2 linked regions of the Kluyveromyces lactis genome follow. The protein of the gene in region 2 interacts with the protein of the main gene of each other region in a pairwise test. Links are inferred from orthologs where the notes say so. Each region holds a gene or a part of one and is shown on either strand. Other genes may lie near its edges.

Region 1 (3,067 bases), on a different chromosome or scaffold from region 2:
TTCTTCAAGGAAAGAATCTCTCTCCGCAAATTCTCTTGAATCATTCGGTTTTTATCGTCCTCAGTTTGATCGTTTTCTGAAGACAAAGATATTGGACTCATCGGTAGTTTATTCCAATGTTCCAATTCGCTTTTCAAGCCTCTGTTCTCGTTTCTTAGCTTCTCGACTTCAGCATTGAGGCGTTCCAGACTTTGCTTTAAAGTCATGACTTCCTTATCCTTCAACCCAAGTTCATAGGTCAACTGTGCTAAATCTCCTTCTAATTCTGTAGTTCTAATATTCACCATCGATCGATGAAAATTATGGCGAGTGATATGCGTGTGTAATAATCCTTAGTTGAGTTTGCAAAATGAATTTGTTGTTAGTCCACAAAGCTGCTAATATTAAAAAGTCCTGTCACACTCCCTTTAAATATCAAGTGTCAGAGATCAGAAATAATATTCTGCACATTTGAATAAATGAAAGGGCACGTAAAAGAGAACTAAGCCAAAATATCGAGATGCCATCCATTGGTGCGATGTCTGCATATTAAGTTGGTTTGTCTTTGTGTTTAGGTCCATCAGACTGCCTTCCTTTTCTACTTTTTCTCTTTGATTTAGCTTTCTTATCTGATTCACTTGATGGATTTTTTTCTGGCTTAGTGTTTTCCTGCTTACGCTTCTCCGATTTCATTTCCTCCACATTGGCAGATTTAGACTTTATTTTTACCTTAGGAGTAACTTTAGAGGGAGTTTCCTTTGTTTCTTTGCTTGTTAAATCCTTCTTTACATCCTTGTCTTTGTCTTTATGTTTCTTTGATTTTTTACGTCTTGCTCTCTTCGTTACCTCCGAATCTGCAGGCATCTCTGGTTTGGGAACATCATCTTTCTTTGGTTTCAACAAAATCTTCTTCTTTGGCTTTTCTTCGGATGTTACCGCACTCTTCTCAGTTGTCGCAGTGTCAAATTTCGATGATTTCGGTTCAGATTTCGATTTAGGTTTAGATTTGGATTTGGATTTGTGTTTGGATTTAGACTTTTTGGGCTTCTCAACTTCTGATTTATCCTTAGAAACATCTTTCTCGTCCGGATTATCCTTGTTCTTTGCCTTAGCACGTTTCAGCTTCCTCTTCTTCTCTAATAGTCTTAACTTTTTCTTAATCTTTTTGATCCTCTTCTTCTTTTCTTCGCTTGTTGGATCACCAGCCAATTCTATTAGTGCTCTTTGCTTACGTCCGTTTAACTCTTCTTCCATTTTTTCTTCACGTTCTAATTCCTTTCTTAAAGGTGCAATAACACTTAAATTCTTGAACTGTAATGAGTTGGTTTCATCTTCATTAATCAATTTCCATGATTTGACAAAGGTTTGAAAGACATGGTCCTTTTGAATCGTGCCTTGAATAGGATTAACCTCGTTGGGACTGACCCACTTCTTAACGAACGGCGAGATTTGTAAATCTGGAATCATCGAGTTATCCAAATCATCTATGAATCTGCATGTTCTTATTGTTTTTGACAACGATTGAATGGTTTCGAAGGAGTCCAATTGGATATATGCCCTAGACAAAGTCTGTTTCTTGAACACCTTGCTGGAGTAATGACCTTGCACGTAGTAGAATGATTTTTGAAATGAATGCACATCGATGTTGTTCTCTTGTAAAGTGCTGATGAATTGCTCTTCTGTTAAATTTGGTGGTAAAGATCGAATACATAATTTGAATTCACGGGAAGAGTCAGCACTCCTCTTCCGGTACCTCCTTCTATTTCTTTTCTTAGAGAGCATTCGTGAAAGAACGCAGTTTTACTGAAGGATCTTGTCTGAGGTATTGTGATAACAGCTCATGTTTTCGTTAGGGATGCATTTGTGATGAAGAACAGATGTGCTAACTGAAATTTTTTAGTGCAATTAAGTAAAATAATACTATGACAAACATAAATGCAAATTGAACCGTAATCGTATCAGTAAGCTGGTAGAAACGTGAATATACCCAACGCAAGTCGGGGTTACAAATATGAATACAACATCGCAGTATAAAGCTTAATGGATTTCAAAATGTGTGTATTTGAGATATATCTACATAGTAATAAATACCGACACACAGATACACATCATATAAGAAAAGACATCTTTAAATATGGAATAATTGTGGGAAAGAATATGTATTGATAAAGTGAACAATTTGTCAACGTTACATTTATTCGTAGATCCAAGACAATTGGTTCAACTTGTAGTCAATAAGTTCTTCCTTCTTGAACCACAAGCCGATTTCCTTTTCAGCAGATTCAACAGAGTCAGAACCGTGACAGACATTTCTACCAACTTCAATGGCAAAGTCACCTCTGATGGTACCTGGAGCAGATTGCAATGGGTTGGTAGCACCCAAGATAGCACGACCTTGCTTAACAACATCCTTACCTTCCCAGACAGTAGCTAAAACTGGACCAGAAGTCATGTAAGACAATAGAGATGGGAAGAATGGCTTGGAAACCAAGTCAGCGTAGTGCTCCTTCAACAAAGCTTCGGTTGGAGTAACCAACTTAATACCAACCAATTTGTAACCTCTGTCTTCAAAACGAGCTAAGATCTTAGAGATCAAACCTCTTTGAACACCATCTGGCTTGATAGCAATGAAAGTTCTTTCAGTGTTAGACATTTTTCTCGAGTTAGTTAATACGTGATTCTGTGTACGATCCTGCTATGAACTAAGAATCAATGGAACATAAGCAATCGCTAACCCCAGAAGTTGAAATAAAGTGCATGGAAAGAAGAAAGTTACTGCAAATTGAAATCAACGAAATTGAAATATTTCTCGAGAGAGCCAACGAATGAGGATCCGATTCATGCTCGATGAGATTGGTGCAGACGAAGAAATGCCGGGGAAAATCGAAAATGAGAGAAAATTTTTCCGGCACGTGACTTTGATTAGTTGATGTTTGGGGCTTCTTACTGAGGAAGCTGTAAAAGTATGGTTCATCATACACAATAGCAGAAAGGTGTCCATATCGTTAGCAAGCGCATTCGGAGGTTGGGATTAGGCGAAACACTGTATGTAAACCCCAAAGAGTGTTTATGGATATATGTCGAGGCA
Region 2 (4,340 bases):
CATTGGATAAACTTCCATCAAAATTGACCGCGTCTTTATCGTATTGGTTAACAGGATGCGTAGCACTTAAGCGCGATTGTGTATCAAAAGACTGTCCATTCCAATATTGTTGGTTCAATAACGAAGACAAGTCCGTGTTTGGAATAAAAGATTTTTCAACGACGTTTTGGCCACCGAATGAGACCAAACTTTGAGTGTCAAAGTCTCTCTGACCAGCATATTGTGTATAACTACTGTTGTTGGATGGGGCTTTCCTGGGTGCCCTAGAAGGTTTCGTCAATTGGACTGTGCAGAGTTGTAAATTATCCAAAAACCCTTCAACAAGACAACCCTTTTCTCTGAAATGAAGTAGTAGATGACTCCATAAGCTATTGCGAGATAGTGCCCTTGGGTTACCCAATATTATTAGACCGTATTTAGCACGAGTCAACGCAACATTTAGACGACGTGGGTCACTCAAGAAACCAATGGTGTTTCTCTCATTGGCACGGACACAAGACAAAATAATATAGTCTTTTTCTCTACCTTGGAAAGCATCTACTGATGCCACTTCAACGCCCATGTACAATGATTTTTCCATCGAACCATTCATTTGCATATATTGTACAACATATGCTCTCTGCCCCTCATAAGGAGTTATAACACCAATCTGTTCTGGTTTGACACCATCTTTGAATAGTCTTGTAATGATCTTTTCACAGTTCATGGCTTCAATTCTGTTCAAGTAGGAAGTACCATTGCCTGAGATCTCTTCACGACCATAGTTAGCCCAAAACATCATAGGGATAGTATGAATTGGCCATGGAAAGGTAGATCTTGCAATAGTACGTTGCTCGATGGTGACACCATTCTGTAAACTACCTTCGTAGAACATGTTGCTTGGGAATTCGCTTAATTGTGGATTCATTCTATATTGGACTTCCAATCTAATAGGAATGTGACCCAAGGAAATTAATCTTTCAAACAAAGATTGTTTCAAACCAGCGTCACCAGCTTTTCTATCTAAAATGACAGGACCAAGTTGCTGATGATCACCAACTAGAACAACTTGTTTGGCTCCCTTGACGATAGGGATCAAACATTCAGGTTCTGACGCTTGAGTACTTTCATCGATCAATACTGTGCGGAACTTATAGTCCAATCTTTTATCACCAGCGCCGACGCAAGTACAGCAAATAACATCAGCTTTTTGAATGATGGTAGCTTCTGATTTTCTCACTAACTTCACAAATTTCGTGGTATCCGATGAGGAAAGTTCCCCTGTTTTTTCCTTAAGATTGAGAAGTTTTTTGAGTTTACCTTCTGCAGACCTGCTGACCAAGTTATGCAATGCTAACTCGGACACTGAGCTCTCCACATCTTCTCTACTTTTAGCAGTTAATCGTACTACCTTTAAACCCATACTGTGCAACTTGGCAGCAAGATGATCCACTGCAACGTTAGATGGTGCACAAACTAAAACACGCTGTTTGTGGATTTTAGACAAATGATAAACAATGGTAGCTGAAGTGACGGTTTTACCGGTACCAGGAGGTCCCTGGATCAATGATAAAGGTCTTTGTAAAACATGCTTCACAGCATTACTTTGAGATTGGTTTAACTCGGTGAAGTGAGGCACAAAAATGCTTTTGGGTAATTCTACATCAAATTCCACATCTGGAACCTCTTGGCCCAATATCTTATAATACAAGAACCCTGATAATGATTTTTTGGTGACAGCAAATTTTCTTAACGCTTCTTGCATTCTAATATAAGAAGTTCCCCTCCATACAAAAACTGCTGTAAATCCTGTAGTACAATTAGTTGGTGGAGTTTTTTGACTTGGTTTCAATTCAAGAGTAAATTCATCTTTGAAACTGTTTGGTAGCTGGATGATGAAACCTTTTCCTGTCCAATCTGCATGTTGTGGACCACTATACTTTAAAATCATCTCATCACCAACGGCAACTTTTAATTCGTTAGATTCGAATGTGGATAATGCAAAAGTAGCTAGATGTCTGTTGTTCAATGCTAAATCCCATGTGACAGAGATGTGTTCTAAGGCCTGTGATTCCTTTAATTGCTTATCATAATCTGCTTCTAACTGAATCAAAGGACCAAATGATCTTTGGTACTGATAAGCATCAGTGTATCTCATCAAAGTCGGAGGAATATCTTCATCTTGTTCGACCATATCAATATCCATAATTGTAGCGTTTTTGTTTGATTTCCATCTTGCTTCCAATTTCGTAATTTGAGATGGAGTAATCATCCTGGCCTTCAACTGATCTTCTTCACTTGGTTCTTCTGCCACCCAAGATAGCATCTTCCTTTCTTCAATAAGTGGTTGCCAGTTATCTGTATCCCAATTAACATTCTTCATTTTAGCACAAGGCAATCTGCACAACAAGACCACAACAGCCTCACTCTTAGCCGGAACAAAACCAAGAACAAACACATTAGTACGTCCACAATTGTAGCATTCCAAAGTAGTATCTCCTAGCTCTGAGTCTGGATGTAATGAAACTGAAGAATGATGGGATAAAACTAAATGGTTCACAATATGGGAACTATTAGTACCATTTTTCGAATTACAAAACCATTTGCTGCAAATGTTACACTTGACAACACATGAAGTATTATCAATACCACAATATGCACAAGCATGTTCCGCAATAGGATCTGTATTAGCAGCAGTGCCGTGGAACTCAGAGTATTCCTCGTCCAGCATCTCATCAGTATCGTAGAAAAAGTTTTTGTCGTCATCGTCTCTCAAAGAAACAGATTCGTTTGAGTCCGAATCTGAATCAAACGGTTCATTTGGCAAACGCATCGTCATAAGGAAACTTGATTCTAATTGTACTGAGATAATAAAGGCACCAGTCGTGTACAATCTACTTCAAAGAATAGCTTTGAACAGAATAGATCGAACTAACCAAAAAAAAAAGTTCGCAAGAAATGAGTCAGAGTCACAAATCAAAATATGTTACTCAGCACATTGATAGATGCTCAATTTACAGAACTTCTTGAAAATACAGATAAAGTGATATAGGAAATAATAACTGTTGAAGCATATTATGATTAAATACTTTTATGTATGGAAGTTGATGCATTTTCTGATGAGATGTGAGATGAGATGTGAAGTACACAAACTGAAAAAAAAAAAAAAGAATCAGCAAATGCATGCAAAAGTCGGGTAATTAAATAGTGATTAGGTGACAGTCTATGTCCTATTACGTTTATATATTTGATGCATGAGGGTATACTGATGATTATGATTGGGGTAACTGAGGGTGGTTGAAGACTGGGGTTGTGAATTTTATTATGAGAAACTCTCTGATAAAGCCTGTTCAATGAAAGACTTTCTTCTTTTTCTTGCGTCCAAAAATGGTGGTGGATGTGAAGATGAATATTGGTTAATTGATTGAGTTCCTGACGGTATTTCTGGTATGGTTCTATTAGTGTAGGTGTTTGGATTGGCAATTGTGCTATTTGAACTTTGAGGTGAAGTTCGTAATGACATTTTTGCCAACGATGAAGAGACGGTGTCTTCTGTTCCATGAGTTGAAGCTTCGTCTGACAATTGTTTTGACTTATCAAAGAAGGATTCCGTCGCTGAATCCAATTCAGAACTTACGTATCTCTCCAAGCTGTATAAGTGTGTTGGAATGGCATTTGTAGATAAGCTAATGGACGATCTTGATCCATTGGAAGATTTAGGATCTATTGCGCCCTCGTCAGTGATATTAGTTGGGGATCCAAAAGAGAGACTGTTATTATTTATGGTATTGTTTGTATCTAGACATCCAACAGAAGAAGCAATGCTCTGTCTTGTGGGTTGTTTAGACAATGGAATGACTATACTGTTTGTCCTTGAGACTGGGTTTGAATCTAGCGAGAAACTGTATCCATTGTAAGAAGCGGACGATTTCGATCTAGGTTTCCTTAGCCCGTGGCAGTTCGAACATACCACACAACCACACTTTGATGGTGATCCAATTTTCCCCTTCAAAGAAGTATCTCCACGCATCATATTCGAACGGAATGGGTTCCCTCCAAGCTCTACCTCCTGAAACTCTTCTTCATTATCACTGGGAATCTTATAGTACAGCGTTTCCTCCTGCAATGGATTCAATTCATACAGTGAATCTTCTGCACGACTGTGTATCTCGAGTGGTTCTTGATCATCATTGTAAAAAGTAGAGCAAAAGGGGTCCTGCACTGATCTCTCAAATATGGAGCCTCTTTCATTGGGACAACCACAATGGCACACTAAAGGCTTTACTCCTTCATCTGATTCCAGACGTTCATCCAACATGGAAAAAGGATTGATAAACTGATATTAACAACTAAGGCAATCT

The links. The genes of interacting proteins can lie anywhere in the genome.
Region 1: the proteins of NAM7 (region 2) and UPF3 interact in a two-hybrid assay, tested with the Saccharomyces cerevisiae proteins (2 studies listed by BioGRID, with this or other methods). The link is inferred for Kluyveromyces lactis from reciprocal best matches to the Saccharomyces cerevisiae genes NAM7 and UPF3.

Annotation. Positions count from the first base shown.
Region 1 is NC_006040.1:317,419-320,485, reverse strand, and holds UPF3 (Upf3p), read right to left. Parts: upstream 1,762-3,067; coding exon 529-1,761; downstream 1-528. Other genes in the region: KLLA0_D03740g (uncharacterized protein), read right to left, coding at 1-287; YNK1 (nucleoside diphosphate kinase), read right to left, coding at 2,174-2,632. UniProt on the Saccharomyces cerevisiae protein: Involved in nonsense-mediated decay of mRNAs containing premature stop codons.
Region 2 is NC_006038.1:566,386-570,725, reverse strand, and holds the start of NAM7 (ATP-dependent RNA helicase NAM7), read right to left. Parts: upstream 2,819-4,340; coding exon 1-2,818. Other genes in the region: MBR1 (Mbr1p), read right to left, coding at 3,302-4,297. UniProt on the Saccharomyces cerevisiae protein: RNA-dependent helicase required for nonsense-mediated decay (NMD) of aberrant mRNAs containing premature stop codons and modulates the expression level of normal mRNAs. Also capable of unwinding double-stranded DNA and translocating on single-stranded DNA.